Linked DNA regions of Rattus norvegicus. The protein of the gene in region 2 interacts with the protein of the main gene of each other region in a pairwise test. Links are inferred from orthologs where the notes say so. Each region holds a gene or a part of one and is shown on either strand. Other genes may lie near its edges. The genes, in order: Ralbp1 and Gse1.

What was found.
Region 1: the proteins of Gse1 (region 2) and Ralbp1 interact in binary tests that used the Homo sapiens proteins (3 or more experiments, as listed by UniProt). The link is inferred for Rattus norvegicus from reciprocal best matches to the Homo sapiens genes GSE1 and RALBP1.

What each region holds. Positions count from the first base shown.
Region 1 is NC_086027.1:112,937,343-112,941,250, reverse strand, and holds the start of Ralbp1 (ralA-binding protein 1), read left to right. Parts: upstream 1-1,591; 5' UTR 1,592-1,833; intron 1,834-3,908. UniProt on the Homo sapiens protein: Multifunctional protein that functions as a downstream effector of RALA and RALB. As a GTPase-activating protein/GAP can inactivate CDC42 and RAC1 by stimulating their GTPase activity.
Region 2 is NC_086037.1:65,518,382-65,522,189, reverse strand, and holds part of Gse1 (Gse1 coiled-coil protein), read right to left. Parts: intron 2,609-3,808; coding exon 2,409-2,608; intron 327-2,408; coding exon 154-326; intron 1-153.

The DNA.
Region 1 (3,908 bases), on a different chromosome or scaffold from region 2:
GGTTCCTAGATTTGCAGACCTCAAATACTTCACTGTACCAGAAAAGAAAGGAAGCTGCGGTTTAGTGGAAGCCTCCATCTGTCTCTGTGGGTTCGTGGGTTCTGCTTGGACATGATGCTTATTTCTAAAACAGTTACCAGAGTAAATGGTTCTGTGGTGCTCCTTAAGTGGGAGGGGAAAATGCTGAGAAACAGCCCTGTAAATACCTCCATTAGCACAATTGAATAATAAAAAGTGTGTAAAGATTATTCCTGGATTGGCTCGCCCGCTGAGGCTCACATAAACACAGCACTTAAGGATCTCAGAAGGGAGTCAGTCTTCACTCTAACTGACCGCTCTTGCTTTTCCCTCTACCTTGCTGTGTCCCCTAACTCTCTTTCAGCTTCATTCACTTCCAGTGGACAGGCCACGTGATGTTGCAGTAAATATGACCACCGGTGAATTACTCAGTAAAGAACGCCTCTTTCCCCACCTCATTATTTTATATGTCAATGTCAGGAGAGGGTTCATAAAGCCCTGCTCAGACCAGTGCCTATCCCTTGGCCATATCAGAACTGCCAGTGGGAAGGAGCATTTTAACTGGCATACTCACAGGCCAGCTTCTCCTGGAGGCTGTTTTATTGCTACAGGGGTTCTGGAAAGATCCCTCTAGGACCTCAGTGTTCCACTGAGGGTGACTCTTGCGCAAGGAACGGACTTGTCATATTTGAGGAAAGATGGCTGGGGGGCATAGTACAGGACGGATCATCGAAATCCATATGGCTCTCGGAAAGAAGCATACACTAGAAATCTCATCTCTCTTCTGACTGCCAATGCTATAAACCCAGAATACTTCAAAGGACTGCTGTTTATCACGGTATACACCGGAGAACACTCCTTCAGTCCTTCATGGAGGACTTCGGGAGGATATTCAGCTGTTTCTGTTTGCGAGCTGAACATGATGCTGTGCAGCTTTAACTCGGGGGTTGATTGCTAACTGCTGAGCTAAGTGGGTGGGAGTCAGCAGTTCCCCGCAAGCCAACACACTAAAGGGATCCTGCGGACTTCCCCGCATAGGCCCCAAAAGCTTCCTTTCTCCAAACCCCAAGGCAAGAATTCTCCAACTGAAGATCTCCGCCCAAAGAAGGCCAGCAAGGTGCTCCGCCCAGAGGCGGGGTGGGTCGGCAGCCCAGGCTGGTTTAACTGGTCGGAACCACTAAAGTACGCAGACGCTTGGGGGAAAGTGTCATTTTCGATAGCTGCGGACACCCGGCCAGAGCTTGGGGAGGATTGCGCTTTCTTTCCTGCAGAGCTCCGCAGGGATCCCACACTGTTTTCACTGGGATTCGCTCCGGTAGGTGTGTGTTCCACTCGGTCCCCAGGACACTGCGCAGGCGCCTGCAGAGCCTTAGCGCTTGGCGCATCCTCTCGCGGGTTCCCTGTTTCCCCAACGAGTTCCATCTCGTGAGGCGCGATGCTTTCTGGGTGTTGTGGTTTGTGTCCGAGACACGGGCCTGCAGTGGCGGGGGTGGCGGGTTTACAAGAACTACAACTCCCGGCGTGCCCCGTGCGAGGACAAGGGGCGTTTGCCCTAGACGCCCCTAGCCGTCACGGCCAAGGATCGGAGGACCCGGGAAGCCGGCTGCGGCGGGAGGAGGGCGTGCGCGTGCGCGCTGGGCGGCTCGTCCTGTTCTGTCCCAATCATTGTAAACAGGCGGAGGCTGGGCGGGGTGGGAATGGGGCTCCCGCGGCCGGCCAGGGGGGCAGCGCAGGAGGCGGCGGTTGTAGCGGCAGCGTGAGTGCGAGGAGGCGGCGGCTGCAGCGGAGCGGACGGTCGCTCGGCGGCAGGCACTGGTCAGTGGCGGGGAGCGTTGGCTCGCGGGGGTCGCAGCGCTGCAGTGGTGTCTGTGGGAGCCGTCCGGCGCCCGGCCTTGCGCCCGCGCCTGTCATGCAGCGTGCTGGGCTTGGGATCCGGGGCTCGGAATTGGAGTTGGGGGTGGGGGGCGTGGCTGCCCCGCCTTACGTTGTCCGCGAAGGCTTCACTCCCCGAGCTTGCTCCTTTGGGGTGGGTCACCCCGCCTGCCGGACAGGCCTCCCTGGGACCTCCCGGTGTGTCCTGTGCTGCTGTGGGAGCCAGGGGCTAGCTGGGAGCCCAGCTGCTTCCTTGGATCTTCCAGGCCGCGGGGCATCCCTGCGGGCCACACCTGGCCGGAGCTGCGGCGGGGGACTGGCCTGACGCAGTCTTCCGGTTTATGGGTCTCACCTGGCTCGCCCACCTGTCTCCGCAAGCGGGGTGGAGTCGGGGAACAGCTCCTGCTGTGGCTCGTAGCCTGCGTTGGGCAGGGGGGCGACCCTGATTGTAGCGGTCCTTGTTTCAGGGTTCAGTGGAAGTGTTCGGCCAGATCTGGAGTTGAGAGCTTCGTTCTCAACGCGTTTTCATGCCGGAGTGTTCTTAGTCCAGGCCAGCTTTCTTTTTCCCGTCTTTTAAATATGTCGCAGTGAAACAGAGTTTGACAAAATATTCCACTTCCCAGTCTTCTGAAGTAGTGCTGGTTCAAGTTTGGGGATCATTACAAGGATTCTTCCAGAGAGAACAGCGCAGTTACCCTAATGTTATTGGAGATCACAGCCGTTTTCGTTTGGAGGTCTATGCCTGTGACAGAAGTGTGCTATACACTGTGTACATCGAGCTGTTCCACTGCCCAGCCTCAGTGGTGTTGATGGAATGAATGCCAGTGGGCTACCACTGAGTAGCTTGGGAAGCATTACTCATACCTGGCAGTTATTGACCAAGACCTTAGTGATAAGTTAATAGGCCTACTTTGGATTTAGTGTTCAGGTGCTAGCACTTGGAAAGGAAAGATCCCATCACTTTCTGTACTAGGAATTATATCGATGATTTCAAGGTCCTGGGTATCTTCCTCGAAATGAATAACTTCCTTTTAGTGGTGTTGGCATTTACAGGGGTTTGGAGCTTCTACTTTTTCAGTGTGTCCCATAGATTGGAGAGAGATAGGTTAGTTTAATAGCAGCTGCTGTTAAATAATTTTTAAAACAAAGTATCTAGAAGCCGGCTGGTGGTGGCACATACCTTTATTCCCAGCACTCTGGAGGCAGAGGCAGGAAAATGTCTGTGAGTTCCAGGTCTGCCTTGTCTACAGAGAGGGTTCCTGGACAGCCAGGGCTAAACAGAGAAATCCTGTCTCAAAAAACAAATCACAGAGTATCTAGAAACAAGGTAAGATGACTGAATTTGCTGTCTTTTTAAACGGTGGTTTCTCATAAGTTTACAGGGACCGTTTTCCTCATAATTTAGAGAGACAGAAGTGGTATTTTAAAAATTGAGTACTGGGGCTGGAGACAGGGCACACTGGTTAAGACGTTCGCAGTATGACTCTTGGAGAGTTACAGGGTTTGCTCCCCAGAAACTGTTCCCAACTGTCTGTAAGTCCAGCTCCCAGGAAACCCAACACCTGGTCTTCACAGGCAGTGGCTCACCTCCCCCTGTAATTAAAGATAATACAAATCTAAAAAAATGAATATTAACTTTATTTTGTACAGTTAATTTGCATAGTCATAGCTTGGCAAAGAGAAGATTAGGTCCACAACACTACAGAACACTATCCCAAAGTATGTTCTGTTATTTTCTTTTTGTGTGTTGGGGTTGGGGGTAGATGGGGGTGGCAGGGTCTCACTGTGAAGTCCTGGCTAGCCTGGAACCTCCCTATGTGGACCAGGCTGCTTCAACACAGAGATCTTCCTGCTTTTGGCTCCTAAGTGCTGGGATTAGATATGTGTCCAGCTATTATTTTCTTTGAAAAAGAAAGTCTCTGATAGACTTTATGCTAATATATGTGAGACAGAGCATGGGGGAAATGCAGATTATTTAGAATACAGGAGTAGAGAGAACTTGGAGGAGGATAAGAGCC
Region 2 (3,808 bases):
AAATCAATCAGCATGGGGTGGACCATAAGCTCGGGTGGAGCCAAGGACCTCAGGGCAGCTCAGGCCACAGAGGCTAACAGCACGCATCCACCTCAGCTGGTGCAAACCCTCAGACCTATCTGGAGCCCTCCCTGACCCCAGCCCGGCACTCACTTGAGTGGTTGGAAGCGGGAGTCCTGTACAACTGAGCTGGGGGAGAGGCCAAAGGGGTAAGGGGTGCTGAGTAGATGGGAGGGGATGGCGGGGCCCGCTGCCTTCTCCTGGGCTAGAGGCGGCTCCACCAGCAGACGCTCCCGACCGCTGCTGCCGCCTCGTGAGCCGGAGTCCTGTGGGAAGAAGACAGAGTTAGGTCTTGGGGAGCCAGCCAGGTCCTCAGAGAGGCCTGTGTTTAGCTCATACTCTAGAAGCATCCTTCCCCTAATATATTTTAGAGATACTTAGGGAGAAAACCTCCCGTGAGCAGGTCTGGACCAAGGTCTACCAGGCCCTGGCTCAGCTCCCACAGGAACTCAGCAATGCCGGGGAAACCTTAAACAGCAGACTGCTGAATCCCAAGATAAGGTATCTGAGAGGATCCGCAGGGCAGGAACCCCCACTTCCTGCAAGCAAAAACGCCCTGGGGACCTGCACCTTAGGACAGAGCTTCTCCCAAGACTCCAGCCTGTGCCCGCAGCTCTCTGGACACTGCCAGTGGTTGGCAATCTGCTGGACCTACATGGGGACACCCTTGTACCCAGATAGACTTAGAGACCCCAGGAGAGGCTCCCTTCAGGCATGAAGTGAGAGGCAGCAGTAGGGCTGGGGCATGGGGAGATCCAGTCTCACAGACTTTCTGTATAAACAGCCACAGCAGCACTCAGCCCGGAGAAACCAGATCGAACAGCCCTGCCTGCCTGTGACTAGGGAGGAATCCTCACGGCAAGGAGGAGTGGCACCAGTGGGAACATGGCAAAGTCTGGGGGACACTGTGAGCCGAGGAGAGTCTGAGGGCCAGAAGCCCCCTGGTACTACATTCAGGTCCTTCCCTCAACACTGCAGGAGAGGTTCAGCACCAGCAGACAGCAGTACTCGCTAGGGAACACCAGGTCCTCTGGCTGACACGGGCTGAACCCATGGTGTGACCAAAAGGCACATGGTAGCCAGCATAGTACCACGGATTGTCCCTGGAGACAGGCCTGCCAGCCCTTCCTGGACTTCTGTCTCCTTATGGTTATCTAAGCCTGTGGTGACACCCTCTGGTCAGCTAACATCATCGAAGCATATGTGAGTCCCGAAGGGGAGGGGTCACTGCTGCACCACCACTTAACCCTGTGTGCGAAGCTAGAGGACAGGTTATATCAGTGACCTCACTGTCTGAGGTCAAAGCTAAGCCTCCCAAGCCCAGCCGGTCACCACAGACAACTTCCTTAATCCAGGGAGGGAACTAGGCCGCTGACTGAATTCGATGACAGAACTCTGTTTCCTTCTCCGGGTGCAGCAGCAGGCTGTCTCGGTTCCCTTCAGTCAGGAACCTGACGGATGTTCTGAGCACTTTACTGGGGACCAGGGTCACCAATCAGACTGGCGGGGCAGATGAAGCTCACACCCTTACTATCCAGCCCCAGCCCAGCAGGGGGGAGGTGTTCCCCTCCCTTCCGCCGTCTTTGTGGTTTAATTAGTACTTCCTAGCAGTACAAACCCTGTGGGAACCAGGCTGGAGAATCCAGGGGAAGCCACAGCTGACAGCGGTTCTTAATTAGCAAGGCCCCCTCTGGGCGCCAGGCCGGTGGGAGGCCCAGCACAGTACTGGGGAAGGTCTGGGCACCGGCTCCTCCATTCCAGTTTGGTTACACAGAGCCAGCTGAGAGACTGCAGACACACAAGATCCCGTGCTGGGATCAGGGACTAGAAGAGTACCATCCCCTACTCCTGCAAAGCAGTGACAGCTATTGTCTTCCTGGAGACCCAAAGCTCAGATACCCCCAGGCCCTTTATGGTGTGTAGTCTGTGTCAACCCAGTGCCTCTGGGTAAATCTGTCTCCCTAGACCCCTAAAGAGGTCATTATTGCCAAGGCCACCAGAGGACACAAGAAGATACCATCTTAAAGTAAAGGGGCAGTTCTTGGAAGGAGTGCATAGGCTATCCTTTCCCTCCCCTCCCTTCCCCTCCCCAGGCTTAGTCAGGCCTCATACACCAAGATGCGTCTGTGTGGTACTCAGTCAGAAGCCTGATGTAAGAATTGCCGTAATTCTAGCATCTTCCAGTTCAGGGGGTGGTGTATCAAGGGCACCTCGCAGAAGACACTGAGGACCAGGGTGAGAGGCCAAACTCGCCCCCATCCCAGAGCTGTGGACAGAAAACTCCACGCAGGGACACCCCCTGTCCCATCACTCCCACTACGCCCCCATCTCTGGGCTGCCCGACTCACCTGGCGGCTCTCGCTCCTCCAGACTCCATTGACTGTTTTGGTGGGGGCAATAGTGACCACCGGAGGAGTGCTGGGAACACTGTGACCCCCGGGGGGAACGATGATGGGGCCCATGGGCACTCGCTTGGGTGTGCTAGCCGGAGAGCTGTGGTTGGTGGCTGGAGAGGACACAGGAGATGACTCGCTGCTCAGTGAAGACCCTGTGGAGAGAGAACACAGAAGTTCAGGGACTGCATGTGTCACCGCCACGAGCCGCACCCACACTTCAGCCATTCCAGAATGCTCACAGGGAGTGAGGCCCAAGAGCAGTCAGGCAGGGAGAAACCCAGAGCCATGCTGTAGCCAGCTTTGCTGGCCTTTTGTCATACTGCCTCTCAGAGGCATGGAGGTGGGCAGCTATTTTTACATTAAAAAATCTGAGATGGGCTGGGGAGATGGCTCAGTGGTTAAGAGCATTGACTGCTCTTCCAGAGGTCCTGAGTTCAAATCCCAGCAACCACTTGGTGGCTCACAACCATTTGTAATGGGATCCGATGCCCTCTTCTGGTGTGTGTGAAGACAGCTACAGTGTACTCATACATATAAAATAAATACATCTTTAAAAAAAACCTGAGATGGTATTCACTCTTTTAAAAGCTCTGTCAAACGGGGCTGGGGATTTAGCTCAGTGGTAGAGCGCTTACCTAGGAAGCGCAAGGCCCTGGGTTCGGTCCCCAGCTCCGAAAAAAAGAACCCAAAAAAAAAAAAAAAAAAAAAAAAACCAAAACCTCTGTCAACGTACCTCAATATATCTACCATATTGAATGACTACTACTATACCTAGAATAGCCCCATCGACCCAGAAAGGAGCATCATGTTCCCCTTCCCAACCAACCCCAGCAGCAAGAGAGAAGAGACAGGTAGGTGGGGGTGGGGAGAGATTAGTTCTTGGGGTGTCGGCTCCAGCAGGACAGAGTCATCAGGGATGATCTCAGTCACTGACACAGCCCCCTCTTCCCTGAGACAATCCTGCTACCTGTGGAAACACGGCTTTGGCCTCTAACTGCTGAGGCCCGTATGTAACTTGTATAATTGTACAAAGCCCCTGTGTAGTCCCAGCCGAGCACACCTCTTCTTCATGTGATTACCTATCAGGACCTGACCTTGGCAATGAGGCCTGGAGGCTGGAGCTTAGGGAAGGAACTCTCCATTTTCAAATGGGCAACAGACCTGCTGCCTACACCCAGAGAACTCTGTCGTCCCAGGCAGGCAGAGCCAGCCCCAAGGCTGGGCAGTGTGAACACAGCACAGTGACAGCCCAGCACTGTCAGTCAGAAGCAAAGCGGCAGCACAGGAGGACGGGTGGCTAGGCTCAGAGACACGCTGGCTTGGGAGGCCAGCTTCTGAGATCTGACGTAGGC